Drosophila melanogaster: one gene and its partners. The protein of the gene in region 3 interacts with the protein of the main gene of each other region in a pairwise test. Each region holds a gene or a part of one and is shown on either strand. Other genes may lie near its edges.

Region 1 (6,729 bases), on a different chromosome or scaffold from region 3:
GCCACTCCGCCCAATCCTTGGGCATGCACAAATCCGGCCTTAATGGCCGCCGTCAAGGGATCCTCGTAGCCCACCCATAGGCCATTCTCCCCTTGATCATCCGCTGCCCGGTACGCATAGATGCCAAAACGCTTGGTGGGATCGCCCACTTTGCGCAGATGGGGAACCTCGCGATCCTGTGGTTGCTGCTGCAGCAAATCACAAATCTCCGGCCAGCTAAGCAATCCTGGCGTAACAGTTTGCCTTCCCGGCGGTGCAGCTCCATTTGCCGCCGGAATTGGTGGATAGCCGGTGATGCCGGAGTTTCGGGTCATATTCCAAGCTCGACCATAACTGGTCACTCCCACGTGCAGTTTGTGGACACTGATTTCGGATGTCTGGTTCATCCAATACTGCACCTGGTACTGCACATTGTGACTGGGATCCCGATCGTACATGGCATACAATGGCGTGGGCAGATCTGCAACTTTGGGATCGCGTTCCGGCGTTTGGAAGTCATAGGTGCCCAGGTTGACGAAGTCCACGTTACTTAGAACCTTTGGAACATCAATAAAGACTAGGGATAGTAAAAGTAATGGTTAATATTGGCGAGATTCTCAATGGTTTCAATGATTATACTCACGTTCCGCTGAAACATGTGGCAACATACTGACGGTTAGCAGTTGGCCACCGCGTCGCAAATCGGATTGCAGCTCTTCGAGAAGTGTGGCAAACTGCTCACGATGCTCCTCGGACTTCTCGTCCACCGATGAGGAACTAAACCAGCCACGTAACGATCCCCATACCCTCTTAAACACGCCCTGCTGCAGTTTGGGCCTATTTTTGGGAAACTGCCAGGCGAGATCGATGCCATCGAAGCCGTTGTTGTTCAGTTCCGCCAAAACGCTTGCCTGAAAGCTTTTCCGATGCTCCGACTGTTCCAGTAATCTTAGATACTTGTCACTATCTGCCACGCCCTCGCTGTTCACATCCCGATCGCCGCCCACCGAAAGCAGGAAGCGAACATGCGGATATTTTTTGCGCAGAGCGGTAATGTGTCGATAATGCTGACGATCATTGGTCAACGAAGGATCCAAACTCTTGATCTTATAGGTTACGGCATCAATGCCCGCATAGCCGTAGACCAGAAAGTTGCAAAACTGTAGAGCGGGCTCCAGTTCAGCCAGCGACATTTGGGCGGGGCCTGAGATGAAGATAACCCCTGATCCACTTGGTTGATTAAAATCTGACAAAACTCACCTTCACGCACAAAACTCTGCGCATCGTAGAAGCACACCAGTTTTCCAACCTCTGCATATGTACTCTGGAAAAATGCCAAAAAACTGCAGAGCAATAACCCTAAAAATGGGTTCTTTTGAATCCACATCATGCACGGTAGTAACGCTTAGCTTCAAGTTAGATTCACAACTAATCTGGGACGACGCTTTGTTTTGATGAACATCAAACGAAAGAAGCGCTGATAAGACGGTGCTTTTATTGGTAAAAATTATAGATTATTATATGAAAAATTTAATGTAAATGAACCTAATTTCATTGCATACTTTTGAGTTGTGCAACCTAATTAAATATTTCTAGCTAAAAAGAATTCAATAAATTTCAAAGATACATAGAACATAACCCTTTTAAACCACAGATATGCATCTGTACAATTATTTGGAATGAAAGATTTCGAATTTCATTTGGACAGAGCTACTTAACCACCCTCCATTATCCATCCACACATTTGCCACAAACTGGCAAACAAACATCCACCAAACACCCACTCACTCACACATTAGTATCTCTCAAAGTAAAAAGTGGGTGGTCGGAATGAGTGGTTTGGGTTATCAAAGTGTCACTTCCACAACTTCAATGCCAATCCGAAGACCCTGCACTCAGCACCAATTTATCGATTCCCACAGGACAATAATGTTTGTTCATGCTCGTAACGCTTAAGCACATTAAAGCCCTCGACTTCAACGACGGAATGATGAGTTGTCGTCACTCCCCAGGAGCGGGCCACAATAACTGGGGGTCACCACCACCACGACCACCACTCATACATGGATGGCCATGTCCATGTCCATGTCCAAGTCCATGTCCTTCATCCCCCAGTTGATTAGCAATTTTGCTCACGTGACGGCAGGGGCTAAATGTGTTGACTGCCATGTCATTTGATGGAAATGGAAGGGTCAACTGTCAGGGGATGGGATCAGTGGTAAGTTGCTGCTTTTGCTTTGAAAATTTTTTTTTTTTTGGGAAAACCAGGTTCAATTGCTTGTTTGTCAGTCCCTTGGATAATTTACTTTGTGACAACGAGATATGGCTTCATTCGTTTTGAACATAACAAAATATCACTTAAGTATCATAAAGGGTTATTTGAAATCAAATTAAAATCGAGAAATTGTATCGAATTTGTAGTTAAGTAAACAACAGCACTGTGTTTTCTAATTAAACTATTGGTTGTGGCTTTCACCTGGGCAAACATGGAGCGCACTGACTGAGGGTAAGCGAAATGAATTTCAAGTTTATGCAAAAGGCCACAGTTGGTTGCATCATAAAGCCAAATGGTGAGAGCCATAAAACTAACCGCAGCACAAAAAAAAAGGACAATAAACGAAGCCAACGGTGGGGAAAAGCCAACAGGAATCAACAGAATGTAACCACAAGCACGGACGCTCAGGCAATCAACTAACAAAATGTACACATGTTCGGAAGCACTGCTTTCTACTTTCTAGTTGTTACTTTCTAACGCCCAGCCCAGCCCATTGGAAGTGCCACGCCCAATGAAATATGTTAGTTTTTTTATTATTATTATAAAGAAGTGCAGGCGTACTTGCTTATAAAGGAAGCTGCTAATGGGCTTGGAACCCATACAACTTATACCTCTTGGTCTGTATTAACCATGTCCTAAGTAGATCACTGTATCATTTAAATATAAAAGCACAGAAGATGTTTATGTATGTAAATAGTAAGTAAATAAAGAGACCATTTAATGTTTTATTTATTTTAAATTATGTTATTTCCTATCCAAGCCTGTCTTACTTTCTATGCTAGCAAAGTACGACCTCCCTTCCATGCTTCCCTTTCCTTCCATTGAATATTCCAACGGCTTTTCAATTTCTGTTCCATTTGAATTTATGGAGCATGAACATGAGCACTTGAGACCTGCGACTTGCCGCACTTAAACACCACTCCAAGGCCTTTGGCTGAAACATTTGGCCGGCTTTAAACGTGCCACAAAGGCAAAACTGGGCGCTGGCTTTAATTCCTGAATGAACCAACTCGACTCGATGATTAACATTTTTTTTTTCTTTTTTCGAGGAACATGTGGCAGCTGCCGCTGCCCGCAGCGCGTAATTAAATTGTTAACGTGCGCACGTGTCGGTTGGCCGTCTGTAGAGGCGCACATTTTCACATATTACGTATACGTACATGTGTACGCTCATTTGGCTCGAGTTCATTTATCCGTAATGCCATCTACGTTGACAAATGTGTGTGGAACAACAACAACGACAACAACAACAGCGTTTAGCGCATGCGGCACTAATCCTGGGTGAGTGGATGCTGGTTGACTGCGCTAAACCCTTTCTCCGCCCCATTTGCACTCACCTTTCTTCTGCTGCAAAACCACCCACCATCCCCCCCCCCACACACACACCCATCGAAAACCCCGACAATCGCCTTAAGCCCCACGAAACAGCCAAAAAACTCATTTTGCATGGAACTCGACTGGTGGTTTTTAATGCTTCATTGGCTTAATTGCCAGCCATGTGCAAAAACAAGTACATTGTGAAAAAAAACAATGTTTATTGCAATGAAAAGCAATAAATATTTTCTTTGAAAAAAAAACAGAAAACGGTCTAATTATTTATTAACTAACTAGTAAGCAGTGTAAGTTAGAATATGATATATAAAAAAGAAATAATGGTATATACCTTTGATAAAAACACAATAACAATTTTTCGTTTTTGAAATTTAAGGTTTTTCTTTTAGTGCACAAACAAAGTTACTTATAAACTGAATCAAACATACCCACCTACAGCAACTTTTTCAAAGTTAATTCGACCACAAACACGTTCATTTACCTTTGGCGACCACATAGATACACACATAGAAAACGAAAATTTAAGAAGTTAAATTCTTGCTAGTAAACTGCAGTGTCATTCGTTACGTTTTCAGTTGTTTCATTCTTTGTTTTTATATGCATTAAATAAGATATTTCAAAAGTGCTAGAATCGAATAAGTTAGATTTGAAATTTCCCTGGAATTAATAACTGCTTTGTGTGTTTGCCAATCACAGACAAAGATCTCTTTAAAGCTACTAAATCGCTGGGGATAGGCTGTTCAAATCAAGTTATGACGCATTTTTATATACTCCAGGGGTCATATTTTAATTGAAAAAGTGCGCAATTTGCTAATCAAACCGATTTGCGCGGCTATAAAAGAGACCTGTTTGAATCGATAGGCAATTTAGTCGCTGAATCGTCAAATCACAAACAATATGAAGCTGCTCTCGATTACTTTTCTCTTCGGACTTTTGGCTTTGGCTAGTGGTAAGTGCCAATGATGTGCTGTATAAATAATAAAAACCTATTTCTAATTGAAATCTTTTTTTTATTTATTTATTTCTAGCCAATCCCCTGAGTCCTGGCAATGTGATTATAAACGGCGACTGCAAAGTTTGCAATATACGCGGCGATTAGAATGTGGAAATCAGAATATGAAATAAACTAAAGTCACTGAAACACCAAAATGTTGTTTATTATTATAATTATTAACTTTTGCAGTTAGAAATGAAGTTCGAACTATTATAGTTTGCGTACTAATAAAATAAAAAAGACCATCACTTTATGCACAATCTGTATTTTTCATAAGTTTTATTGTAGTTACTAAACATCAAAGTTTTATAACTCCAATTTAGCCTCCGCGAACATTACAATGACGGCAATCTCCATTGATAATGACATTACCCGGATTTAACGGAGAAGCTATAGTAATAGTAGAAAAATAATTAGGATACTGGTTAAGGATGTATGAATCTTATAGATACTCACCCACTGCCATGGCGAGCAGACCGCATAGAAAGACCAAGGACATCCACTTCATATTGTTGGCAACGGTTGAAATGAAACTGATAAAAATTCACTTCATTGGTTTTCTTTTATAGGCACCTTTATGATGAAATTTAAATATCAGGTTTTTCCCGGATAGTACGTATCTCAGCTGTTGTAATCACACAAAAGTTGTGCCCAGTCTGGAAATGCCCTACAAAAAAAAATGTTGATAAGGCGATGTACATTCAGAACAATGGCAAAACAAAATAAAGCGATAGCGATCAATCAATCGAATATAAATAATAATAGATTATTGTAGATTTGTCTCAAATAGGAAATCTAATTCCAAAATCAATATGAATAAATATAAAAATTAAAGCTAAATTATTTAAAGCTTCCTAGCGGTTTAAACAAAGCTGGGAATTAAATTAAATTTACAGATTTTAATCTAATATGCAATTGCTATAATCTAAATGCAATTTAAATACCCATAAAGTTGGGATTTGTTAAATAGCAGTTTTAATATGTGACTAAATCTATACGTGATAAGGGTTGTATTTAAGTTCGCAATTTGTCACAAGCTTAAGGTTTTTTTTTGAGAAATAAAAGATATTATTTTATTAACTTATTGATTACATAGTAATTTAACTGAATATATGATATATAATTCCAAAGAAGATGGCTCCAGATGTGAGTGTGTAAGACATGGATCCAGCTGATTTATGGTCTGGAGGAATTATAATTCCCGGATCATTATCAGGCTTATTGCAGTCAATGCATTTCCCATTGATATACACTTGTCCCGGCGTAGCTGCAATAAGGAAATGATTAGCTAAAAATATCATATATATATTTTATTATTTCATTAAATAATTACCATTAACAGCTGCCAGCAGGCAGAAAAGCAGCATCAAAGTTCCGGCGACTTGAAGAGCTTTCATGTTTTTCCTTGGGGATTTCGAATAAATCTGACTGCCAAAGTGCGAGTGCTCTGCTTTTTATATGCCATAGTACATATAGTATTTGCTATATTATATATATAATTGTTTATAATTATTTTGCGGGATTTTACATAGTTATTTTAAAGAAATGTCTGGAAAGGAGTGCCTATTAATTAGTTGTTTAATTATTGTTATTTATTAAACAAAAAATCGGTAAGCTGTATCGATTTTATTGCTAAACCATACAGTAGCAAGGCTGATCTATTTGGATAATAATGTAATTAATCAAATCATAATATGATAATATAAAATTTGTATTAGTCTTTAAAACATTTATTTGAATTAAATACGGTATTCTCCATCGCCTAAGATCATTTTCAATAATTTGTTTCTCATTCCAGATCTCTAAACTAACAAATAACAAATATTAAGCTGACTTTAAGCGTCTTTTAATGACAAGTGATTGTTTCATAGTTTGTTTTCCTAGAACTTTGTAATACATTTTGCAATTGGAATACATTTAAGTGGTTTGCCTGAACCTCAACTGCCTTTCAGTTGTTATCTATAGAAATCAATAATATTTCCCCATTACAAATAATATGTTGTTTTGTTTGGAATATATTTAATATGGGCACTTGATTCTAGGAATTTCTATTACATTTTCGACTTAAAAATATGTGTGGCTGTGTGAACTTCAACTGGCATCCTTCATTCTCCGCTGCCCTTAGGCCCTCACATTGCAGACGCGGCAA
Region 2 (11,048 bases), on a different chromosome or scaffold from region 3:
CAGAATTTCTGTTTGTGCCATTCGTGCTTGATAAACGCAAATTTTCAATGCACAGTTTACGAAAAAAAAGCGATTATTAATACAATTTTCCTGATGTTCTTATCCAAGGCCTCACAAATTCCAGGTAATATAGATTAATATGATTGATAAGCAATTTAAAACTTATCAACGAGGTAACATTCTTTTTCGGTTGGCTACAAAAGTTCAACAGCAGTCCGAAAATGCTGCCAATAGTTGCACAATCATGAACAACAGTGGGTTGCTGCAAATGCAACCGCAGCAGCAGCAACATTTAGGCAACATGTTTCTCCTCTTTTTTCTTGTCCCCGCTTCACCTTCCACCGCCTGCTGAAAAGTGGCGAGTTAAGACAAGAAATCGGCCAAAGTGATCATGTTTATATAGACATGTATGTATAGACAAACCAAAAACGACAAAGGCTGCATACACACAACGGTTTGCGAACCAACGGCTGCACAGTTGCAGCAATCGAAAAAGTTGCCAGTTGCAAAAATCAAACAAAATGGCACAATAACAACGAAAAGGCAACAGCAACGACAGGCAACTGCAGCAAATGTCTAAAAGCAGCAAGTAAAAACGAATGCATCCAGCCACCCGCGTCTCACTACCCCCACTTCATTATGTAGCTTATTATCAAGAAACTTCAATAAGGCCAATTCGGGACGTCCAATAGGTTTTAATAGTAATTCTAGTAGGTTTTTAATACCAATTCACATTTCACTCAAGACATCACATAGTTAAAAACCTATGCATGCACTCCAAACCGAACCTTGTTGCCGGTAGTTAATTGAATAACTACTAAATAATTATTAAAATTGTAAATTGTAAAAACGACAAGCAATTATATTTGTGTGTTGTCTTGTTCTCTTCGGTTTAGAAAGAGTGGAATGCATATATTTTTTCAAGCTTTTTTTCCCCGGAGTTCTTGGCGAGGTTACAACAAGGTAAACCTGCTGCCATGTTGTATCTTTCAGTTGTATTTTTTACCATAGACAATGGAACAAAGCAAACCCGTTCTCGCTACTTTCGCAGTTTGCCTGCTAGAATAGGAGAAGAATTGTGGTGAGGAGGTCAATGCTGCAATTGTTAACTGCTAATTAGCAGCCAGAGTCAAAGCCAGGGAGAGAAACAGCATGTATCAACTTATGTATTGCAAGAGTGGGTGGTGCACTGCCGAGGGAGAGGCACGGATGGCCGAAGTGGGTATCAAGGCGGTTGGAACACCCGAAGGCATATTCGAAAACCGGTTAACAGCTGGCAGCCAACTGACGAACGAGAAATACATCACCGAATGGGCAAATCTCAAAGACTTTACAAGTTACAGATATTAAGGCGTATGGGTCGGGTTAATATAAATATCTGCATGCACAAAAAGAGTTACCAGAAGCAAAATTTTTTTTTGCAGAATTGGAGACCAGGCTTACCACTCAAGCCCGATAATTTATTGCCTTCTTCCACTCATTGCGTTTGTAAGCATGGGCAAATCCCTACATCAGTTGCCAGTTCTTGTAACCGCGTCTCGACGGCAGAATCGACCGCCTTTAGCCAGAGTTATGACCCCGAAAGCTGTAAATTAACCTTTGAGGCCGCGCACATTTAAAAGGAGTTCAAGAACATAAACCAGCGTCCGCAATGTATAATCCGGAGCCAATCAACTTCCAAACTCGCGGTCAACCTTCGGACAGACTGAATCCCAGCTTACGAAATGAGAAGAGTTGAACGGTAAGAAGGCACGGTAAGAACGGCTGATAGACACAAAAACCGCAAGCGACGCAGTCAAAATAATAATGAGCCCGACATTTAAAATGGTTTATGAGACAGCCCCTTCTGCGGCTCCTCGAAAGCACAAGACTTGGCCCAGCCGCAGCCTCATCAGCAGCGTTGTCAGCCGCAGAATTGGCGATTCTTCGATTTTTCTGGGTCAAGCACCACGCGAAAGCAGAAAGAGCTAAAGACTTGGCCCAAGAAATGTGTGGTAGAGGTAGAGTTCAAAACGTGCCTTGGCCGTACTATTCAGACATGCAGTGCCTTCCCACCCTCTTATTCTCCCTGATCGAGACCGTCTCTGTTTCGTTGTCGAAACAATTTCCGGCGGCTGCACCGAGAAAAATATAACGTGTAACGATGATCGAACAATAAAGACAAGCGAATCTATACAGAGTCAATTCGGAAAGCTTTAAGTTTTCTAGAACCGAACATAACACATGTTTAATTAAAGCCTTTATGGCGTCCTTTTTGCGCTTTCAGAGCTCGGTAGAGTTGAATGTCAATGTAATGAGCCAGCCAAGTTCGGGTCATAAAGCCTCTGCCACATGAAAGTAGTTCAAGTACTCAACGGCGCCGTTACATTTCACTGCTTATGAATTGGGAGTCGCCCGGCCAGACAGTCCGCCAGACGACACTGACTTCCCGATGTGTTAATAATTTTGTTTTGATTTCAGGGATTCGAAAAGCCTACTTTGACTCTGTGGAAGGGGATAAGAAAATATAGCGCTTGAATTGGGCCTCTTGGATCTTTAAATTTAAAGGACAAAGGAATATTAAATCACTTAAAAAATGGTAATTTTTACAGCCCCTATATTGTTGTCCTTAAATACAAATGAAATGAAAGCATATGGTTTATACGATTCGCCCAGTTTTCACGATGTTCCTTTTGAAATCACATCAAGTTATGGGATGGACATCATGGACATCAATTATGGGAACATTTTGTTTTTAAGGAAATGAGATCATCTTACCATTTTAAAATACCTAAAAAATTATGGGAACATTTTGTTTTTAAGGAAAGGAGATTATCTTACCATTTAAAAATAACTAAAAGTATTCCAATTGTCCCTTTCTCAGTCTATCAAGATTTTAATGTATTTCCGTTGCTGTGTTGATAAGATTTGTTACCCAAAAGCCAGTTGGGATTTCACGTTTTACTCGTTTTGTTCGACTCACATTCTAGTCACATTTTCATAGAGAATTCGTTTAATTTGCGTGCACATTATGCGTATAACATTTCTTGTGCAATATGTACCCGACTGGAAGCCACTTGATGCCAATCGAGGAAATTATTGCACGACAAATATCGGATTTTTCACCTGTGAATTAATAACGGTAAATTACTCATCCAGCGTCGCGGCGGGCGCACTTGTATGGGTTAACGAGCGAGCAAGCAAGTCAACGAATTCACAATAAAATAAACAAAATGCAGACGCGAAAAATCGACGAAACTTGTTGGAGCTGAAAACGCGGAAACTGTTGCAAGCGAATCGAAACCAGAAAAACTTTTCTGCACACTCTGTCCAATCAGAACAAACACTCGAACTCTTCTCTCCCACACACACTACACCAGCACTCACACGCACAAGTTCTGCTCTTGCACTTGCCTCTTTCTACTGCTTTCTTTGAGTCTTGGGTTTTATTTTACACGACTGCGGCGCTCTTGTTGCGTTTTCCTCACCTTTCGCAGAGTTTATTGACATTTTCAGCGTTCGCTTTGTGCGCTGCTTTCTTCGTGCGCAATCTCTTTTTTCTCTCGCCAGTCTGTTCGCTCTTTCTCTCTTTCCCTTTCTTCTCTCCGCTCACAACACTTGCTTTTTTGTTTACAATGGAACGCTCGCACACACACACTGGTAAACGGGTCACTCACACGCACACAGAATAACCTTCAATTTTATCTTATTGCGCGCGCCCCAGTCACTCGTTATTCTTAAACTTTGCCGAAATTAGGATTTGCTTTGGTTCGCTGCTGCAGCTTTAAATATCAATCAATGTCTTTGCAATGCTGGTGTGGTTAGAAATCCACATTCACCTCGACGCCTCTTCCACACACCCATACACGCAGCCACGGACGACCTTTGCGGTGCGAGCGAGACGACCCGCCACAAAAAACTCCACTTCCGCTCTCTCGTTCACCCGTTGTGCTGACGGCGAAAAGGTTTTCGAATTAAGTACATACATATATTCTTATTCACTTATTCACGGATTTAACTACATATGCCACTGTAGGCGCTACCACTCTTTTTCGCTCACAGCATGAACGGTGTTTTGCGCTCGAATCCGATTCCACAACCGCTCTAGCGATCACACGACGCAACACAGTCCCGCCTGCGACGAAGTAGCAAAATGTTTGTTTTGTTAGTGGAGCTCTCGGTCTGTTAGCGAGCGTTGCCACCTTTCTGCGAGCTGTTGCTGCACACTGCCACTTTACGAACACAGATCTGATAGCGGGACAAAATACGTCAAGGCAGCGACGGTGGGTTACTAGTGAATTTGGAACGGTGGTCTTACGACGTAATGGTCTTTTATATTTTCATTATTTTTTAAATTGTCGCTCATTTACCAATAAACCTTTTTACTTTTTCCTGATAGTCCGAAGTCAGATCAAATAGGAAGTTTCACAAAAAATTTTCATCCAGAGAAAATACGCCGACGCTATTCGAGTTTTTTGTATTCGTTAACCGGGAAAGAATAGTTCGAATTCGTTCGCACTTTATCGATAGTAGATTGCTATTATGGAGCCCACTTGTAAAATAATTTAATTCCAGACTGATAAAAGCGATCAACTTTTGTTAGTGGTTTAAGTCTATGATAATACTTAGTTCAAATTGTTTCAAAGTAGTCGATAATTTATAATAACAGTTTTAGATGACCTCTAGGAAATAACTAATTACCCACATTCTTCAAGAAGTGTTTTCAATTTGTTCTATAATTAAATAACAGTTGTATTAATTATGTAAATATTGTTACTCATAATACAAATTAAACAATATAAACACACATAAATAAGAGAATTGGAATATTTTGTCTCAGATTAGATTTTCCACACGGGAAATTTAAATCACCACGTTTGGTAATATCGTATCGTTTTATCCTAAACGAAACACGCTTATTAATACATAAGCTAATTGTTTTTATACCCGTTACTCGTAGAGTAATAGGGTTTACTAGATTCGTTGAAAAGTATGTAATAGGCAGAAGGAAGCGTTTCCGGCCATATTAAGTATATATTCTTGATCAGGATAAATAGCGGAGTCGAACTGGTCATGTCCGTCTGTCCATATGAACGTCGAGATATCAGGAACTATAAAAGCTAGAAAGGTTGAGCATCGACTCGGCTTAATAAGAATATATTTTATATCTGTTAGACATTTTATCGGATGAATTGTAACAGGTATAATAAACGATTTCTTATATATCGTCAGACATGTGTGTATATTTTGAACGAAACAACTTAAATTAGTTTGTAATGTTATTTTATAAATTCCATCCTAATAAATATTACTGGATTTGCAATGAGTTCCTTAGAACATATTAGTACTCGTGTTTCACTAACCATGTCCATCAAGCTGACACTGCTATGAATGGGTATGTGTGATGGGTATCTGGTGGACAAGCTCTGATCTAAATGGTGTTGTCCATCCCAATAGCACTGACTTGTCTGTAGTCTAAACTGTGAAACACTCCTTTATTACTGAATTCTAGATAAATGTACATACATATGTATACTACGGAGTGGTTGCGAAATCAGAGGCAATCAGATATTGAAGCAAGTTCAAGTGACATACAATGGAATTGGTCGTGTATAGCCGCCTATAAAGACATTAATAGACGACCCCAAAGCTCTCATTTAAGCTTAGCTTTAGTTTTCGGTAGATACAACTTATTAGTGTCAGAGATATTGAGCTTTGGTCGGCCACTGCATTTACATTATTTATTGCGTAATATTTAAATTGATAAATTGCGCATATATGCTAATGCTAAGTCTTCAATCCATATGTTATATTGTATTTTCACGCATTTTTAGATGAAGAAAACATTCTTGACTCGGATCGACTACGATCCACATTGGCATATGTTTGCCGTGCATAATATGGGTATTCTCCATTTAAATGTCTTTGGATGTGGTTAGCTAATTGGTTAATTAAGTGAGACCGCGGGCAGAAAATATCGACGAAAATACATTTTTGTGCAAGACAAGCCAAGCCACGTTTCTCATTTCGAATCGTGGTTGCTGTGTGAATTTTTTAAAATTGGAATTATTAAAACGGATTACGCCTGTTTTATTTACCATTTGCGGCTCCTTCTTTTTCTGTAACAAAAAAATATGACACTGGTGGTTTAAAGTAGGCTAAGCAAATTCGCGATGCCTCATGAATAGGTTTCGCTTAAGTGACAGATGCTTTCAAATGCAGCATTTTTGCATTGGAAATTAAACCATATGCGAGTCTGCGATTAGTAATATATCAATAAGCAGAGCGCCGGGTGAGGGTCGATCGCAAGCGAAAAATGTTTCAAAATGTTTAAATATTTTTGGAACGTTGTCTTTGTGTACGTATTTCTAAAAGTTAGTTACGTTTAAGTATATGGGTACTTTTCTGAGCCCAGTTATCAATCAAAATGTAGGAATCATATTTTCGTAACTATAGGGGACAATAGCTATTAAACGCTTTAGAGGCTGTTTACAAAACAGTGAGGTGTCACAGTCCCGAAAAATGTTGTCTCACGATTGGGCAAAAATGCCCTTATAATGCCCAATCAGATTCAGCTTCAGCTTGGGTGGTTTCCACTCGACCCATAAGTGGGGTAAGTCCCATTTAATATTCAAAATAATAACCCCACATATGTGTGTATATACGTATATAGGTGTGTGTCCGTATTTACAAGTTTTCTGAGGCTAACGCCAAGCTGGTAATCCTTGAGCGCTTGGTCGAGCATGTAGTTTGGTCATTAGCACCGGCTAATAGTTAAACAAACTGATTTCCGCTAACTGCACCGGCGAACGCATATCAGTTGACCTTTGACATTAGCCGGCAGAGGCCCTTTAATCGCTTCGTGGCCAGCTGCCTCGCATGCAAATGAGTGTTGGCGTGTCCCGTGGCCGCTCGTCGGCGGAGTCTCGCGGCCAAGCTGCCCTATTGACATTGCCAAACCCGTCCAAATCCCCCGATATCAACGAGCGGCTGCCGGCGAACTGTCACGGTCTTAACCCCGCGCTGGGCACTAAAAAATTGCATCGAAGACTGCCCGGGCAGTTGGTCTGCTCGGGTTGGGTTTCTTGTGATAATACATTTTACTGTATTAGCATGAACAGTTTTCCAATATATCGAAAACTCCCCTTGTTTTTCTATGCATCTGGGTGTGGTTTCTTTGTTAGAGCTGTCAGTTAATTATAAAAAGTGTGCTCCCATATGAATGCTTGGTCCAAATAATTTAAAAAAAAATAACAGATCTCAACTTTTGCTTTAAGAAACTAAAATACCCTAAGCAAATAACCTTTAAGTAGAATTTAATGTAGTTTAATTAATTAACGACTTAATCATGTATTAAACAAGGCGAATATTATAGTTTTTTTTTTTTTAATTCTCCCTAAACCATATTCAAAACTTGAAAATTAACGTTTCTTAATGTTAATACGTAAGATCAAAGGGAAAAATAAAATAAATATATCTTTGTTTCGTTTTGATCGCCCAACAGCCGCCTCTGGGTTAATGATCACTGCTCCGCTCTCTTCTTAACTGTCTACCTTTTCTTCGACTAGAAGAAGCGCCAGGCCCACACCGAAGACGCGAAGACGGATATCCAGCAATAATAATGGGCCAGACCAAGTTAAGCATGGCTTTTGGTATAAAAGTGCGGGCCCATCTGCAGTTCGACATCATTCAGCTTGAGCGTCTTGCGACAAGAGCTTGCCAAAGCAAATCCAACGAACTTTAAAAGCCCGACCAACAAATCAATAACAATGGTGAGTAAACTGTCCACTGGTCACAACTTCGATCAAGAAAGCCGTTGGCCTTGCTCAACCGCTCGCCTTGGCCAACCGTCAAGATGTCGGGGATCCCGATCGCTCACTTGACCCTTAAATTTCCGCTTATTTTAGAAACTCTTCGTCTTCGCTGTGTGCGCCATCGCCTTGGCCTCCGCCGATGTTTCCCACCTTAACCTGGGCAGTGGTTATAGCTACAACAAGCCCACGCCGACCTTCAACATCCCCTCGGCTCCAGCTCCAGCTTATCTGCCACCCGTTCAGGAGGTGATATCTGCGCCGGCTCCAGCTCCTGTGTACTCTGCTCCTGCGCCTGCTCCTGTTTACTCCGCTCCAGCCCCAGCCCCAGTCTACTCCGCTCCGGCACCAGCACCTGTTTCGGAGTACCTGCCTCCTGTTCAAGACATCCCAGCTCCAGCTCCTGTTTATTCTGCTCCTGCTCCAGCTCCAGTTTACTCTGCTCCTGCCCCAGCTCCAGTTTACTCTGCTCCTGCGCCAGCTCCTGAGTACTTGCCTCCCGTCCAGGACATTCCAGCTCCGGCTCCAGCTCCCGTTTACTCCGCTCCTGCACCTGCTCCTGTTTACTCCGCTCCAGCCCCAGCTCCAGTCTACTCTGCTCCCGCACCAGCACCCGTTTCGGAGTATCTGCCTCCTGTTCAAGACATCCCTGCTCCCGCCCCAGTGTATTCTGCTCCTGCGCCAGCTCCGGTATACTCTGCTCCTGCCCCAGCTCCAGTTTACTCTGCTCCTGCGCCAGCTCCCGAGTATTTACCTCCCGTCCAGGACCTTCCCGCTCCTGCGCCCGCTCCAGTTTACTCTGCTCCTGCTCCAGCTCCAGCTCCAGTTTACTCGGCTCCTGCTCCCGCTCCAGTTTACTCTGCTCCTGCTCCAGCTCCAGTTTACTCTGCCCCAGCTCCCGTGGAGTCGGGCTACCAGTACAATGTGCCTGCCAAGCGTTTCCGCTTCTAAATGGACATCAGGTGGATTCCAAAGAGTTCCGCAGCCATTTGAGTGGTGACAGCTTGTTAAATTAACAAGTGCCGTCGCCCATTGTTGTTGAATATTTGTTGTTACGCAAAGTTCCCGTTGAGATTTTAGCTAATAAAAAAATTACAAAACAAAAAATATAAGCTCGCTGCAAAATTGAAATGGACGAACGGGTCCAGTGTTCCGCGGTTTCGCTGTCCCTTTTAAAAACGAGTATTTAAATTTAGCACCATAAAGCCTTTAGAGACGCGATCTGCCGGCTTACGTAGCGTTTACCGAGCGGTTTCAACAACGGCAGGTTATACAAAGATGACCTGAGGTGTAGGCCATAACTGCGTTGGCAAATTTTCGCAAAGAGATGTCGTTAACGCTAGCCACTCAACGAATAAATTTAGCGAATATGAGAGAAATCTGAAAAATGTGGCACAGTTTCAGTTCTACTTAAATAAATGGCTTGGGAAGAATAGTCGTTTTAAGTGGTAGCCGTTTTAGTATAAAAGTCAATCTTTTTGAGTTAAAACCATTGTATGAAGACTAGAATATCATATTTAATACTTTGTAGTCATAATGATATTTTGAAATTCCAATTTCGCTTGTTCCCTTATGCAAAATTCAAATGTTTCCCCTTATTAAAATTGATATGAGGTCCAAATTGTCCCAAATTTTAACTTCCACACCTTCACCGCTCTCTCTCACCAGGATCACTTAATTCTACAAGGACTTTCACGCAGTCTAGCTTTGCTATTTTACATTTTTTGGGCATATCAAATGGGAAAGCGCCATTGTAACCAATGCTAACCTTTGTTGGGCGCTGTTAAAAATCTATCCTCTTTTAATTAATTTCATTATAAGGCAATAGAAAACATCGAATTTCAAATACTTTCCACTAATAATAAATAGTTTTATTGTGAACATTATGTTTTCGCCCTTTTTTGATTTAGTACCATCTTCTTAACGTTATAATGGATACGCAAGTCAATCTTTTTAAGTATGCACTGCATAACTGGTTTACTTACATAATTTTGTAATTAACTCAATCTATATATTTATTGACTATATATATTTATGATCATAAGTTTATCTTATATTCGTATAATTATAATGGTATGTATAATTAATAACTTACTTTTATTGCGTTAGGGCTCAAATCATATAGAGCTAAATTAAAATACTAAAAGTAGTTGATGCTTGATTTAGCTAAACTGTAACAGCACATAAAGGGAACTAAGTTAAATACAACATAGAAAGCCGATGGGAGTGACGTTACAAAGCAATCAAACATAAAATTTCTATAAAACATTAACTGATCGCCAAAACCGAATTTAAAAGAATCTTTGGAAATCTTTTTAAAGAATTCGGATCAGTTTGGTGTGTGTATGTTTTATTATAGTTTAAACACAAAGCTTATATTGGTAAAGTATTGCCAAGATTGATTTCTAGCCCTAAAGTAAAATTGTTTTTTAACTTTACAAGCAGATCGATATATACAAATTTAAATAATGCTCCCGCCGGCGTTTGTTATGTGTCATAATCATCCTGTTGCGAGCTAAAGTAGCTTACCAACCCACTGAACTCTCCCACGACTGCTGTTCCTGTTGCGGATGACGGAGCTCTCGTGTCATGAGCTGATCCTGAGTCTTCCTCGGCTATAGGTGCCGGTGACCTAGTAGGTTCTGCCGGACCCGATACATCGGCCACTACTGCAATCGGGGACTTCCTGATGGGATACGCCTCTAGAGTAGTTAGCTTTTTGCTGGTTATCACAGAAGCCAGTGGTGGCTTGTGGCTGCTGGTTTCGCTGGTTATTGTGGGTGGCGGGGCTGCAGCGGGTGGTGGACCTGAAGACTGTGTCGGAGTTTGTTGAGGAGGAGTCTTTCCATGCGTCAAAGTGGGAACCGAGTGATTCGTTGGCGTCAGGGTGTGCGGAGCACTTACGATCACAGAACTTGTCGCTGCGTGGGCAGATGGTGTGGACAGCGGCGGGGGCGGGGGATAATAGCCATATGGGGAATATCCACCTGTAAAATATAAAGTTAAATAATCATCAAATACACATACAACATAAACCTATTAAATAATAAAATATAAAACGGTTACTTAAAATCATCTTAAAATGTATTGTTAGTAAAATCATATTTAATATAATTTTCAAATTAAATAGCATCTGATGATTACGTTGGTATTAGCTAGTTTTGTTTATTCAATTAGATTTTTCTTCGTTGATTATTATGAACAATATTTAAGAAACACCATTTTGGAAAATATGTTTATTTGTCTATAAGTAATGGG
Region 3 (7,987 bases):
CACCTGGGGATTGGAAACGTTTAGTTTTAGTCATGGATCAGGGACTCCTGGGACGTCATTTATTAGCTCACCTCTCGTTTTTTTGCCACCTCGTCGTAGGGGAGCAACTCCAAAATGTCCTGAATTAGTGTTTGTGGCAAGTCTAACAGATTCATATTTCTCGTTTATACTTATTACTAGTTTCGAGCGGAGCGATTATAGTCGAGAATATTGCTATTGTTTTTAATAAGACTGTGATGTCAGCTCATGGAAATGCTGAAAACGCCTTGTTTAGCCACAAAATACCACAGACTAAACCATGAAAACATACCAAAATAAACATACCAAATAAATAAATATCTTACAGTTATTTTACATGTGCGTCAAATTAGCGTTGGTGAGTTTTTTATAGGTGAATTCCAAAAAATAAAAGTGCGTAAAAGAAAAGAAAAATCTAGCTACGTATGTACGATTTAAGTTTATATCAAATATGCATATAAAATATCAAATATGCAATTGAAAAAGGGGCTACCCACTCTTTGTTATAATGTTATGTTTTTTATTTACAAGATTGGGAACAACAACAACACAATGAGAACGGAAATGGATTTAAGCTTGTATCAGAAATTTGCTAGCATCATGAATATCATTTGCATAAGGTTCCAGCTCAGGTTTCTTTTTGGGAATGTAGGGATTGTGCTCGGGATCGGCATTCAAGCTGTAAGAAATACCAATAGTTTAAACAAAATAATATATACAAATTAACCATACAACTTACTGGTAAAAGTGGGTAGCCTCCTCACACTTGACATTGTACCACCAATCGCAGGCGAATTCCTTCTGGTTGAAGATGGTGCCGTTGGTGCATAGGAACTTGGCGCCCTGGTCACCTTCGCGTCCATCGTGGCACACGTGGTACGCCTGGCAGCCCGTCTCCACGTTGGCGTACATTCCCGGAGTGGCCGGCACATTGTGGCAACTGAAGTGGGTGTGTGGCACCTCGTGGTAAATCGGATAATCAACGCCCGGAACTCCAGGTATCTTGTTCAAGTCTTGCTTCTTCTCGTGATGCTGCGGGTGTTCCGGTTGCGGTGGATTGAATAGATATCCGAATTTCTGTAACCATATCAAATGTTTCTATTGCATAAGACATGCCACTGCTCGTGCCCCAATCCGGTTTGGTCTTAGTACCCCCAAATCCCCGCGTGACACAGCCTCATTATAACAATACTCGTGGATAGATATACTTTGATAGAAATATTCAAGAGACTGTAATCATATTTACTTTCAGACATCAAACTCTTCTTATGCTCAAAAGTAAATAAAATATTTGTTAAATAGTATATTTTCACATCATAAATCATAAATTTTTTATCAGTGTACACATTGAGTACATTGCATGCTACAATTTTTGGGTCAAAAGTGAACGTGGCTAAGACACCCAGAGCTTTGTCAATTGGGGTGGCACACACTCCTCCCAATCGACTCCCTAGCATAATTATACACTCGTTTTCCGATACCCAATCCTCACCTGAACTTCGATGGCCACCGCGGCTCCGACAACGAACATTAGCCAAAATGAGAAACAGCCCAGCTTTGGCATCATTATGTCGGTTACAAAAGTATCTATGTATGTATCTTTTCCGCCTACTTTGTCGCTAGTTGGTGGTAGCTTGGAGTCTTTGGAGCTGCAGAGACGACCGATCGAGTTGGGTTTGAAAATCACACTGAACTGCAGTTTTCCCAGCGGCAGCCACTTGAGCATGGAGCTTTCAAGGGTACCGATCCGATTTGTGTAACGATTACGATTTTCGCATTGGAAGCTGCCCGCCCAAGCTTTTCCATTCCCCAAAATCGGCAAATTAACTTAGCTCTGCTTCAATTATTGCCACAGTAAACGAACGGCTTGAAGCTTAATGCTCCCCTGCTCCCCACATAATTATGATATAAATAGTGAAGTATACCATTCATGTGGGAAATGCAACATACAACAATGTACGGACACGCGCATGGTTTTATTTTGCAAGATACAAATTGTTTACGCTTAACTAGCTAAAAGCGATGAATTCCCATTTCACCTGGCCAAGCTTAGATGGTACAATATGTGGATGGGTTGTGGGTTGGCAAGCGATGGGTGGTGGATGCAACTGCCTGCACGCAAAAGAAATCTAAATACCTGTTGATATAGTTTTCAAATTCAATTAGAGTATACAACAAAAAACTTGAAAAGATTTAGAAAGCTAAACAGCTTCAGTTATCTAAAAGGTTTAATTTAATATTTTATTTTATTCAATAGAAAACAAAACGGTTGCATATCACTTCACGCTTTAATAACCAAATAAGAAGTATATTTTCAATGTTTTGAAAATGTGTTGTGTATTGGTTTTAACATTAGTTTTACCTCAATTGTGACCACATTTTTTCACGGTGCATGGGCTGGATACGAATGGCTTGCAAACATGGGAATGGGAATGGATGTGCACTAAACGGTGAGCGGGCGTATGGCAAAGGTTTTGAAATGATATGCACATGGTTAGATAATGGATGCGAACCACTTGTAAACTTAACTCTTAACTGGAGATAGATCTCATAGCTGTCATATTCATAAATTCTACTACATGTTGGGTATTAAAACTAATAATTCTTTCGTCCCGTTTGCTGCAGGTCCAGTTTGTTCAGCAGATCGTCAAACTCGCTGAAGAGCTAAGCAAAAAAAAAGAGAAAAAAAACGTAATAATAAGACCCAAAAATGATTACATAAAAGCGCTCTGGGATTAGATTGCTCTCGACTCACATGGGTTGTGCCATAGCTGTCCACATAGGTCTTGCTGCCCCTGGAGGTTTTCTTGAAAGCGGGCAGCACCGGACTGTGACCATGCAGAAGATTCACATTCTGATAAGACTGCGCCTTGGCCGAACCGGCCAATGGATGCGACTGACTCTTGCCAACCGTGGGCGCCAGTTCCAGAAAATTGGGCGCTAAATTGGACGAAAGCTCAGCCATTGCTTGCACTCCTCAATCATTCCGACAACTCACCCTTCTTTGGCTGCAACTTGACCTGGTTGAGCAGCGGATTGTGCAACTGAAGCTGCCGGTAGATGGGCAGGGCGTGCTTCGGTGGCACCACCACGTGCTGGCGGCCCACCGCCTGCGGGTACAGGTACGTGGTCTCCACCGTTGGCACCTGGCGGTAGTGGTATCGTCCCTCCCGCGGCGTATACCTCCCATCCGAGCTCAGGGCGATGTGGAAGACGGTGCGCATGGGCTTGCTGTAGTACTGATACACCTGGATGGGAACATACGGTTTTTGAGTGTCTATTTGGCTCTCCAAGCTTTATGTAAATGTCCGTGGTTGGGCAACTTTAGGATACAAGTTGCTATAGCTGGTTGATACTTTCAGTACCTTAATTTTTATGGCATCTAAGCATGTTTGACTTGTTCGAATTCAGTTTTTTTTACTTTACTTACTTTTAAGAGCACAACATTTTTGAACATCTATGAAAACAACTAAAACATAAATGCATGCTAAATTCGGATTATGCTGTTATAACAATTTGTTTAAACTTGAAAAATGAACGCACGGATTAAATATATAAAAAGCATTACTAAATGATTAATTGATCTGTGCTTAATTTGCTAACTTTTTATTTCCCTCACAACCGAATTGAGGTTTTGGCATCTATTTGAAAAAAAACAAGCTATTTCCGTAAACATATTTTGGAATCCTGACTACACTGAGCAACATAATCTTTGTGTACAAGCTAAAGAATTTTCGCTTAATTTGATAGGTTGCTGATCCCTTCTAAAAAGGACCTGCTGAAGGATATTTTGCGAAAACACAAATTTACTTGAACTGCCACATTTGCCGATCTTTGGCCTAATCCCTTGCCCAAAGAACCCAAGAAAAGGGCTATAATCCAGCTGGGCATCCCGCTGATCCTTACCTGCGGATTCCGCTGCTCGGGAACTATCCCATCTGGCACTGCGATGCCCTCCTTCTGCAGGCGATTCAAAAACAATCGATCCGTCTCAAAGGCGGTGTCGGGTATCTTACCACCCGCATGTGGCAATACTTGTTCCCGATAGATTTGGCGTTTCTTGAAATTGGTTTTTCGACAGTATTATTTATGATCGTATACGTTTAGTGGCGATGCCATGGCCTACACACCTTGTGGTTGCGCTCAGCAAACTCCGAGCCTTGGGCAATTATGAATGGGCCCACGCAAAGATATAGTAAACCGATCAGCAAGATCACATATGGCGTAGACATTTTCAACTGTTTTGTATTTAAGGAATCTTTTTTTTATTTTTTAGCAATTTCCTGATCGGCGAACTCAAAAGGTCAAGTTGTTCGATGGATCGATTGAAAGACACTAAGATCACAGATTTCGGCAGACAAACGTTAAGAGCTCGGTACACAAATCCAGATGCAAGACATTCTTCCACATTCGACAGCCAAATTGCACAAGACGCGGCGACAGATGAATGACGAGCAGAATGAGCGATCGCGACACGATCACGTGACACGATTGGGTTGCCAAAGCAATCTGGTAATGGTTGTTAGCTGGTTATACGGTTGTACTATATCGATGTCTATATATATATATATATCTATAGACGCCGCGATTACTTGGTTCCGATCTTGGAGTTACGTTGTGGTCGCGTCGACGGTGCCAAACATAATGAATGCAAATGCATAAGACCGATCTCCACCAGCGGGTGCCCTCTGCCGACGACTTCTGCCGACGCGTTCATCATCGTCATCCCCACCATCATCATGATGATCATGATCGTCATAGCTACTATCATTATCATCGTGAAAAGCATAGTGAGCAGACGTATTTATTTGTAGACTCTGAAACTGTGAATGATTTTCCATTGCTTTTACTTTGGCACTACTACTTAATATAATACCAACTTCTTGCCATAGTTAGTTTTATTTGCGGTTTTAACTGGAAGTGGCAGCAAAATCGTTATAGCCAAATTGCCTCAATTAATCTCTATGAACCCCCGCCCCCCTTCCCTTACCATATAAAAACCCAAATCCAAATCCAAAACCGAATCCGAATTCATAGTGGGTTGATGGGTCCCCGGCTACTTGACTTGAAAGTCTCGCTGAGATCCCTTGGTGCCCGTTCGTACATCTATGTTATACGTAATTACGCCGGTTTCTTGGACATGGCAATTTTTTATGGTAGCACTACAACCTTTTTCTTGCCACGAAAGTGAATGGCTGAATTGGATTGGTTCGGATTGCCTTTTGTTTTTGGCCATTTGCAGTTAAACAACTGATTGCGCCCTCAAGTCAACACTTTGCTGAACGTTTCATATTTATTGATTGTTTTCGTTATTATTTTAAATATTTGTGTAATTTTTTTTCTATTCATTTGTTGTTGGCAGCCACTTGCTGTTGTATTGCCTATTTGTCTCGAGAGGGTTTTGATGTTTTCTTTTCGTGTCAGAAGAGTTCGGTTTTTGTAAATAAGGCGCTTTATTGGCGATCGAAAGGCCTTGAAGGTATTGTGAAAGTGGATTGGTTTTTGGTGAATGCTTGAAAGGCCTTTCTCAGAGGATAATTTGTTTTATAATTAGTACTACTTATTTTCTAGGGCACGTGCCTAAGAAGTAATTGTTTCAATATATTTGTATATCTTAACATTTAAAACTCAACAGCTCTTCAAAAAATACAAAATTCAATATGTTCATGTTATATTCAAATTAACATTTTTGGAAATCCATTAATCAAATTTTCAACATAAAATTTAATAGAGCGAAGGCAAGAAAAAAAATAATGATTCAAAATCATTGTTTTCAGATATGTGTTTTAATCTCAGTTGTTTTGAAGGCAGTAACGATTTCCATTTCTTTTTTAATAATTTACAATATTCCCACGCTTCCGCATTTCGTTATTTTTTTTTTTAAATTCCAATCGCATATGCCATTTCATATGGCACATGCGTGTAAAAGTAGAGCCAACATAAATGTTTAATGCAAAACGGGGAGAAAGTACTTCCAAAGATACAAGATACAAGATAAGAACGTCTACGAATTGTAGATCGATTGAAATGCCAAACACAAAGACCAAAAAGCCCATAGTAATTCCAATTGCACAATTGCCGCCGAAAAAATGTTTTACATTACAAAACTACAATAGACATGGCAGCAAAAGCGAAAAAACGAGTCAGCTTCTGCAGTTTAGTAGATTGTAAAATTCAGACCTTGACTCAATCAAGATGCAACAAAAGATAGATCCAGCTATTGGGTAGACCCTAGCAGAGATTGATTATTTTAAATCATCACCAACCTTGGACCTCGGGCATGTTCATAGAAAATATTTGTCTAATCGTTCGAAGCTGCTTTTCAATTGTTTGGCCCAAAACCAAATTGTTGCGGTCGCTAATTGGCCAAGTTGGGAGCTTCCTGGAGGGGCTCGCTCGCCACACAAATGTTCGAAATTCGATGTCAAGGATAAAAGTTGCCTCTTCTGAACCAGTCATTCCCAGGCCTTTCCAATTCGCATCTTGTCACAGAAAGATGACAGGCCAATACCACGACCACGATCTGACATCTACTCGATCTTCGAACCGAAGCGATCGTGCCTGGTTTGTGGTCCACATCTTTGCCTTGGAGGTTACCTAATTGGCCAAAAGTCGAGTTCAATTGCCCATAATGTTTGAACTTGTGGGCATTTTTGTGTGTGTGTGTGTGGGATCGAACGAGCAATTTGGTGAAAATAACATGACATCAACACAAAACGAATTCGATTCGACGCCTTGTCCACTGTGCACTTGTTACCAATTAACAAATGACTATGCACACTTGGTAATTGAAGTTGCTCGATCAGGTTTTTGGCCATTCAGCGAATGGTTATTCCGAAATGATCTGAGCAAGTGCCACGCGTTGAACCCGCAGGCCAGAAATGGCAAAGGAAGTTCAGGGTCATGTCAGTAAGAAATTGAAAATTAAACAATAAGTTACTTAATTGATTTTACCCATTTCGAAATCAGTAAAATATTAATGCATTTATTCAGTTGACATTCTCTTATATCTTTTTATTTCGGTGTATATATTTTATATCTTTGCTTGGTTTACACTTTAAACATTTTTCAAAAAAGTAAACATTCATATCAATCTTTGTTCTTCTGAATATGTAATATGGACAACTCTAAATACTTTTCTGGGCAGATATACTTAGTACTCGTTGCGTTCATATATCAATATACATATTTACATACAGATGACAGATAATTCTGCGGCTCGAACTTTTCATCATTTTACAAGTAAATCTGCTTCGTTGTCTGCACAGACTTTTAAATGCAAAATAAAATGTTTCAACTTGTGTTTCTTGTTTTATTTACTTGATAGTTTCGCTAAGTATTTCTCTTTAATAGCTATAATTAAAATACAAAAATATGTATGCAACAAAATAAGTATGTTTACACATAGTGAATATCGGGGCAATTCAATGTAACTTATTACTCGGCTAGATTTCGTATAAAAAAATGTATTCTCTGAGTAATTTAGCTCAACATATTTGGAACTGATCGATTGCAAAATAGGCTTTACAATCCTAATTCTTACGCTTACTTACTAAACATGCTAAAATGTTAAATAATGTACGCAAATCACGCGAATTTGCCACGGAACAAAGTAAAAGTGGGAAAGGCATGATAACATTAGTTTTGGTTTTTTTTTTTTGCTTTAGGAGTAATACTATTTTAGAACAGAGAGGAAAGGGTGGGGATTTTTGGAGGATGGTACGTAACTAAGCCTCTTACAGATCCATACTAAATGGTATTAATAGGAAATCAATAGGAAACTATTAAAGTGCACTTAGTAAAGTTCCAGTTTGAATGCCGCTTGAATCGTTCAGAACTGTTCTAAAAGTGTTTCTGAACGGCTATCAACTAGCTTACTCTCTACATTATATAATCGCGAGTGTACTAAAACGTGCTAAAACGGCATAATGGTGCTCGGTAGTGTGCTACATACATATATTGTAGAAAT
Region 4 (7,380 bases), 150 kb from region 3:
TTTCTCAACTTGGTCCTAAAGAAGACAAACACGGAGAGGATATTGCCAATGCTGCCCGTGCAGCAAAGCACTGGTATATAGTATTGATGCACGAAGTGCCCTATAAAAAAGGCTATCCTTAGCATCTCCTCATCCTCGCCAGCTGATTCATTCGCGTCCATTTCCGTTGTATTGTATTCCGTGACATTGGATTCGCCCAAAGATGAACTGAAATCTGCTTCTGTAGTGGCAGTTATGTTGCCACTACTGCTAGTTATATACTCCATATCCATGCTTAATGCAATGCAATAGTCCTTTGTTGGTTAGTTGCTTTTATTTTGAGATATTTCCGGAACAGTTTGTATTCCACTTGGACACGCTCATTACTGCACTGCTCTATTTATTTTGCTTTTAATTGAAGAAGGTCAAAGGCAAAAACTATTTGCATTTCCTCGGACATATGTTTGTCCATTGCAATTGATTGGCCAATCAAACTAATTCACTTGGCACTTTCACACGAATTTCTGTTTCCGCTTAACTTAATCTTAATTAAGAAATTTTTAACTTTCAAACTTTGTGCCAAACTTTTCTTTCGGCAAACTTGTTGAAACTTCCGATTGCTGTTCGCCTATGTGTTATAAGTTCATTATCGGCCAAACATTTTTTCCACACAGTTCGTAATGATGTAAACAAAGAAGAAACGCCAGGTAAAATCATAAAAAAAAAACTTTTGCCACACACAAAAAGTTCTTGTTTTCCTCAAAAAACTTCTGAGGGTTCTTGTTTTCACAAAGCACAATTTATTTGCAGTCTAGTTTTATTTTTGAATTGAATTTTTTTTTGCGCAAGCCATAGACATTCTTCGATATTTTTTCAATTAATTGATAATTCTCGGAATCGAATGCGTGTGTTTATATTCGGGATTCGCTGTCTTTCAAACGCTCTGTTGAGTTTGGCGGCCAATTGGGCTGTTGATTCCTTGCCGGTTCGTCCAACCAGCAGGACAATGAGCGCGCAACTAAGCCGAGACAATGGACGTGGCAGCCTTTTAAACTGCTTTCGATTGACTCTTGGAAGGCGCCAAGTGAAAGCTTTTTAGCTCGACCACTGCGCCGGCGCGGATTCATTCATAAAATCAACAGGTGACAAGGTCAGGGTTGGCAGGAACAGCAGCAGCAGCAGCAGTGGCAACAAGTGGTAGTTGGTGCCGTCGAAGGATTAGCCCAGCAGGATTCGCAGGAGGAGAACGGCGCCACTAGGTGGTAGACAATGGGCCGCTAAACAGCCAATTCTCGCGCAATTCTTGTGGTCACATTGTCACTGGGCGGTAATGAAAACAATAACAAGCCGCCGCCGTCGCGGCTTTTCCAGTTGCCGGAAAAGCTCTTTTCAGTGGCATTGGAAAATGGCCAACAGCATTACCGGAGGTTATACTTAGTTGCCTTTTGGCCGTCCTCCAGTGAGGAGCCCTGAAATGGCCACGCAGCCTGGGGCATTGCTTCCTGGTTGGGCTTTAAAATGTCGTAAAATTTTACGAGATCTACTACTGAATTAACTCGTCGTTTTCTTTCCCATTTTCAGAGGATGACAAGGTGGGCACCTTGGACGTCTTGCTGAGCAGCGCTTACTGTCGATCCCAGCGCTTCCTGTCGAAACAACTGGCGCAGCTACGACCGGAACTTACCATGTCCATATTTTCTGGTGAGTATTTCATCTCTGTTAACTTGAAACAGAAGAAAAAATCTAAATTTATCAATATTTATTTTATATTGGGATATATATTACAGAAATCACCCATCGATTCCAAAGTGCTCGAGAGGATGTGCGTGCCCTGCTGCTACAGTGTCTCCTTCCCTGGCTGCAAAACATGGAGCTGGTGGCCACAAGTGTGCCGCCCGCCACGCCCCTTTCCTACATTATGGTAAGCGAAGCATGAAATGGCTCATCCTCTTTGAAAACCGGAGACGCATTCAAACCTTTGCTCCCTTCTATCCTTTGGCAGTATTTTCCGGATTCAGGGACGCGAGGACGACGCGAGGGCACCGGTTCAACGGAGGCAACGGAAATGATTCTGAACAATCTCTTCTACATCACAGCCAAGGTATGACGATATACTGCTTATCTTCACGTCACAGCGGATGGACTTTAATCTTTAATTGTTTCCACTGCAGTTCTCCGACGCCCATCCACGCGACATCGAGGAGCTGTGGGGCACACTTTGCCAGTTCTGGCCGAACAATCTGAAGGTTATCCTGCGCTACTTGGTAATCATGAGTGGCATGGCACCCACTGAACTGCTGCCCTATGTAAGTGCCGTACTTCAACGGTAACCAGGAGTATCTTTGATGTTTTCGAAAATTTCTTTAATCAGGCCAAGCGAGTGGCACTTTATCTGGTGCGGAGTTGTCCGGATCGGTTGTTGGATGAGCTCATGGCCGAGCTGCAGACGGTGGAGACGCTCAACTGTCTGATTGAGCGCACGGAGACGCCACCTTTCTACCGATTGACCAGCATGCGAAAGGCATCCAGTCACAGTGCTGATGGTAGGTCTTAAAATTGGCCTCTCGGCAATCTAATACTTAAGTGTTGAATTTAAATTGATCATTTTGTGACAGGCCAAGCTGCAGGTGGCATTAATGACTCCAGGATTCAGGACCTGGCTGTTGAAAAGGGCACAATTCACACCAAGCGGCACAGCGGAGAGGATCCCATGAAAATAGGGTAAGTCCATTTGATTGATTAAAATTTTATATGGTATTAATATATTCAATATTCAATTCCCGCAGAACCTGCAAATCGGACAGCGGCATTAGAGCCTACACACAAGCAGCCGCAGCTGCTGCCGCCGCTGCAGTTACTCCCGGCTCAAGTGGAAATCGTCCACCTCGAGGCGCCGATAAGATTCGCGCCGCATCGGGACCTTCCATACTTCCTCGACCAGAGGATATACTGATTAACGATCCGGAGTTGCGGCAAGAGGAAAATGTAGAGCTGCGCGGAACGTCGGATGCTGCGCCAAACGGCCATCCACATCCACTGCCAATGCCAGAATATGGAGGATACTTTGCTCCACTCACTGAGTTTCTACCCGATGTTAGTTTACCGATCAGTGGGTTCCACAGGTGAGTTGTTTCGATATTTTTTGTACATTTAAATACATTTCCTTAATATTCAGTACGCAAGTTAATACTTTTCAATAGATAGTCAAGAAATTTGGTTTGCAGTTTTCGAATGAATTTATTTAGAAAAGCAAAGACTTTGCTGAAGAATCCTCAACATTGTCATTACTGTTCCTAAGTCAATTAGTAGGAGATGCCAGTCTGGTCGCGGATCCATTCTAGGTAGTCCGAGACGCGGGTGTAGCCAGAGGGTCCGTCGTGGCAGCTGACGGAGGCAAAGGTGATCACACCGACGAGACGAGCATTGTCGTGTGTAACCAGGGGGCCACCGGAGTCACCTCCGCACACGGACTTTCCGTCGGCGTGACGGGTGCACATGTCGGTACTGGCAACCGAGCCGTAGGCCTGCTCGCACTCGCTGTTGCTGATGATCTGGACATCGACGCACTGCAGCCAGTCGGCCAGGTTTCCGTTGTCCATACCACCCCATCCGCAAGCGACGCACCAGGTGTCCTGGTAGCGGTCGTTCTGCTCGTTCATGCTTGGCAGAGGGATCTTGTTGATCAGTCCGTTGAAGTCGACATGGGGAGTGCGGATCAGACCAATGTCTCGGCCGCCCTGGGAAGGCCAGTCGGGGTGGCTAATGAAGTTGTCGCGACGGACGGTCTGCCTGTAGGCACCGTTCCAGCCCCAGTTGGATCCGTAGTGGATCTCCACGTAGTCTCCGGTCAAGCAATGGGCGGCAGTCAGGATCCAGTCGTTGGCAATGATGGTACCAGCACCAACGGCACCACTGTTGCTTCCATCGGTACGGATGAACAGGCCCACAATGTAGGGAGCCTTGCCCTCGGGCGCTGGGTAGCCGTTGACAATGCGACCCTCGGCTCCCTGGGACAGGAGGGTGGTGCGGTTCAGACCGGTCGGGGAGGCGGCCACCAGGGCCAAAGCCGCGGAGAGAGTTAGCAGGAACAGTTTCATGGCTGTGAAGAAACTTATTCTTCTAGTCGAGGCAACCTGCTTTTATACGATTTTTGAGACAATATTTATTGATAAGGCTTCCTATTATCAATCAACAATGAAATCGTATCTCACCCATACTTAGAGGATTCATTCATGCCGTGCACTTGAGTTCGTAGTGTCCGTTTCTAATCATTTGTTATGGAATTAGCATCTCAGGCGGGATTGGACCACTTCACATCGTAGCTATCGGTACAAGTAGGAAATGCAAAATATACTGGGAGCCGAAGTGCCTCGTAAATCTATTGTACCCCTTGTGAAGCAGGTAAGAGTAGATAAGAGCATGAGCTGATCTATAAATTAGGCCGCGAAAGAACTCAATTGTCGTGACACGTAACTAATATAGTAGACTTTCGCTAGCCAAGATGCCAGCCAAAAAATAACAAAATAAGTCGTATATTTCCCTTATTTTGATAGTAAATTCGTCAGATTTCACAAAATGGGGGTTTTGCTAGCTCTGTTATCTTTGACTTCATATGGTTATCTTACTTGAATGCAATAATCACACGTCTTATTGCCAACTACTTATATTTTACTTAATTTATTTTATTAGAAAAGTACTTCATTATAAGGGCGTACTTTATGGCGTGTGAAAGAAGCCTTTTGTTGACAACAAATATAGGGATGCTAAAAATAAACATATTTAAATACTCCTTTACAGCGCGGAACCGTGTAGGGATTTATTTGTTAGAAGCACCTGGTTTGGGGCACCTTGTTGGGGACACCTTTTTCGTGAGGCGCGCCTAAGGGGTATGTTGTATGTGCATATCGTTTGTGCAATCTTGTACGGAATTTGGTTAACCGTATACGTGGCACATTCATCACCACATTTTAATGAATACAGTTATATTTCATATAAAGATTTTATTAAAAAAATACAAAGGATTTATTAAGAGTTTAGTAGGAGATGCCGGTGTTGTCACGGATCCATCCCAAGTAGTCGGTGACGCGGGTGTAGCCGGAAGGACCGCTGTGGCAGTCCACCGAGCCAAAGGTAATCACTCCCACTAGCCGAGCGTTGTCATGGGTAACGAGTGGACCACCAGAGTCGCCTCCGCAAGAGGATTTGCCATCGGTGCGGCGCGTGCACATGTCAGTGCTGGCCACGGTGCCGTAGGACTGCTCGCACTCGCTGTTGCTGATGATCTGGACGTCCATGCACTGCAGCCAGTCGGCCAGGTTGCCATTGTCCATGCCGCCCCATCCGCAGGCAACGCACCATGTGTCCACGAAGCGGTCGCTCTCCTCGCTGAAGCTTGGCAGGGCGACCTTGTTGATCAAGTCGGTGAAGCCCACGGAGGGAGTGCGGATCAGACCGATGTCACGACCGCCCTCAGCGGGCCAGTTTGGATGGCTGATAAAGTTGTCACGGCGGACAGATTGCCTGAAAGCTCCGTTCCAGCCCCAGTTGGATCCATAGTGGATCTCCACGTAGTCGGTGGTCAGACAGTGAGCGGCGGTCAGAATCCAGTCGCTGGCGATGATGGTTCCAGCTCCAACCGCGGCACTGTTGCTTCCATCGGTGCGGATCAACAGTCCCACAATGTAGGGAGCCTTTCCCTCGGGCGCTGGGTAACCGTTGACGATGCGGCCCTCGGCACCCTCGGAAATGGTCACCTGGGGCAGAAGGCTGGTGCGGTTGAAGCCTGGGGAGGCGGCGACCACGGCTAGGGCCACGGAGAGTGTAAGTAGGAACAGCTTCATGGCTCGGAGGAAACTTAGTATTCAGCCCAGAACAACGCGTTTTTATATACGACCTGGTAGCCTTATCGATTACGGATTTGTTCATTGTCTTTGTGTTAACCGTATCTCATCGGATACTCATAGCCACACGCAACGCAATATAAGTTTAATTTTAATCAACTCAAGAACTTTTCTACTTGATAACCATAAATAAATCATTAATTTAGACACTACTAAAGTAAATTCAATTTACAGTTTGAATATAGTATCAAGTAAACCCCATTTTCTGCTCAATGTGGATATATATATATTTACATAGGTTCATTTAAAGTGGAACAAAAATATCAGAATATCTGGATAGACAATGATTTGATTTAGATTCATCATTGATCGAGTCTCCTTGTTAGTAATAGGCAATTCCCGACTTCTCTCGGATCCAGTCCAAGTGATCGGACACACGGGTGTAGCCCGATGGTCCAGACTTGCAGCCGATGGATGCAAAGGTGATAACGCCCACTTGAATGGGATTGTCGTGAGTGACCAGTGCTCCGCCAGAGTCGCCACCGCACACGGACTTGCCATCGGTGGCCCGGGTGCACATATCAGTGCTGGCCACCGATCCGTATGACCTGGCGCATTCTCCGTTGCTAATGACTTGCACGTCCATGCATTGCAGCCAGTCGGCCAATCCTCCATTGGCCATTCCTCCCCAGCCGCAGGCCACGCACCACCAGTTCTCGAAACGCTCACCTTTTTGGCTGAACTTGGGCAGCGAAACTTTGTTGATCAGATTGGTGAAGCTGACGTACGGGGTGCGAATGAGTCCGATGTCGTGACCAGCGCTATTGGGATATCCTGGATGGCGAAAGAAGTTATTCTTGTTCACCGTATGCTGAAGCTGACCGTTCCAGGCACGATTCGAGCCGTAGTGTATGGTCACGGAATCGGTGGTCAGGCAATGGGCAGCGGTCAGGACCCAATTGTTTCCAATTACGGAACCTCCGCCCACGGCTCCATTGTTCATTCGCAGGCCCACAGCATATGGTGCCTTGCCTTCGTAGGCTGGATAGCCATTTACAATGATGTCCTTGGGACCACCACCATGATGAGCCGTACGATTGCGATTCCTGTGGGCACAGACAGTGGCAACAAACAATAGCAACAATACCAGCTTTTTAGACATGCTTAAAATTAAATCTATATCGCAATGGTTTTTGCTTTTTATAGAAGAAATGGTTGCATGTGTTATTTACGGCTGGGGGTAATTAGTCTCCAGTCCAACGTGGGTTATCAGTGCTTTCGACACTTAATGAGTGTGGGTATTAGCTCAGATATACTTTGTCAATGGTAATACATTTTCACAAAGAAATACATTTTTATTTTTAAACCCATATTGCCTAAATTTACTTAACGCTGCGAAGTTTTTCTGATTCCTCCATTTAATGTTGTCATACTATATACATATAACACTTGCAGATGCAATGTGGCCGTTATGCTGCTCACCGACATTGTAGTGGACGGCATTCCGGGCATCGACTGGACCCTTCACTTGCCCCTGATGCTGCACATCCTCTTCCTGGGA

What was found.
Region 1: the proteins of CG32036 (region 3) and BomS6 interact in a two-hybrid assay, tested with the Drosophila melanogaster proteins (one large-scale study listed by BioGRID).
Region 2: the proteins of CG32036 (region 3) and CG31626 interact in a two-hybrid assay, tested with the Drosophila melanogaster proteins (one large-scale study listed by BioGRID).
Region 4: the proteins of CG32036 (region 3) and CG18180 interact in a two-hybrid assay, tested with the Drosophila melanogaster proteins (one large-scale study listed by BioGRID).

What each region holds. Positions count from the first base shown.
Region 1 is NT_033778.4:18,388,348-18,395,076, reverse strand, and holds BomS6 (bomanin short 6), read left to right. Parts: upstream 1-4,447; 5' UTR 4,448-4,483; coding exon 4,484-4,535; intron 4,536-4,614; coding exon 4,615-4,685; 3' UTR 4,686-4,724; downstream 4,725-6,729. Other genes in the region: Idgf5 (imaginal disc growth factor 5), read right to left, coding at 1-556, 623-1,183, 1,240-1,369; BomS5 (bomanin short 5), read right to left, coding at 4,900-4,970, 5,037-5,088; BomT2 (bomanin tailed 2), read right to left, coding at 5,681-5,847, 5,914-5,977; BomS3 (bomanin short 3), read right to left, coding at 6,702-6,729.
Region 2 is NT_033779.5:21,230,338-21,241,385, reverse strand, and holds CG31626 (uncharacterized protein), read left to right. Parts: upstream 1-4,652; 5' UTR 4,653-4,742; intron 4,743-7,350; exon of another isoform or gene 7,351-7,483; 5' UTR 7,484-7,748; coding exon 7,749-7,751; exon of another isoform or gene 7,752-7,886; coding exon 7,887-8,741; 3' UTR 8,742-8,891; downstream 8,892-11,048. Other genes in the region: CG8677 (uncharacterized protein), read right to left, coding at 10,278-10,777.
Region 3 is NT_037436.4:9,487,550-9,495,536, forward strand, and holds CG32036 (uncharacterized protein), read right to left. Parts: upstream 1,685-7,987; 5' UTR 1,586-1,684; coding exon 1,511-1,585; intron 1,096-1,510; coding exon 758-1,095; intron 698-757; coding exon 589-697; 3' UTR 501-588; downstream 1-500. Other genes in the region: pall (pallbearer), read right to left, coding at 1-3, 72-155; CG32037 (uncharacterized protein), read right to left, coding at 2,614-2,682, 2,774-2,958, 3,017-3,266, 3,925-4,077, 4,149-4,250.
Region 4 is NT_037436.4:9,637,728-9,645,107, reverse strand, and holds CG18180 (uncharacterized protein), read right to left. Parts: upstream 4,096-7,380; 5' UTR 4,077-4,095; coding exon 3,282-4,076; 3' UTR 3,195-3,281; downstream 1-3,194. Other genes in the region: CNMaR (CNMamide receptor), read right to left, coding at 1-272; CG18179 (uncharacterized protein), read right to left, coding at 5,013-5,819; CG8329 (uncharacterized protein), read right to left, coding at 6,202-6,981; fry (furry), read left to right, coding at 1,561-1,680, 1,767-1,900, 1,982-2,080, 2,151-2,285, 2,351-2,522, 2,595-2,700, 2,766-3,101, 7,275-7,380.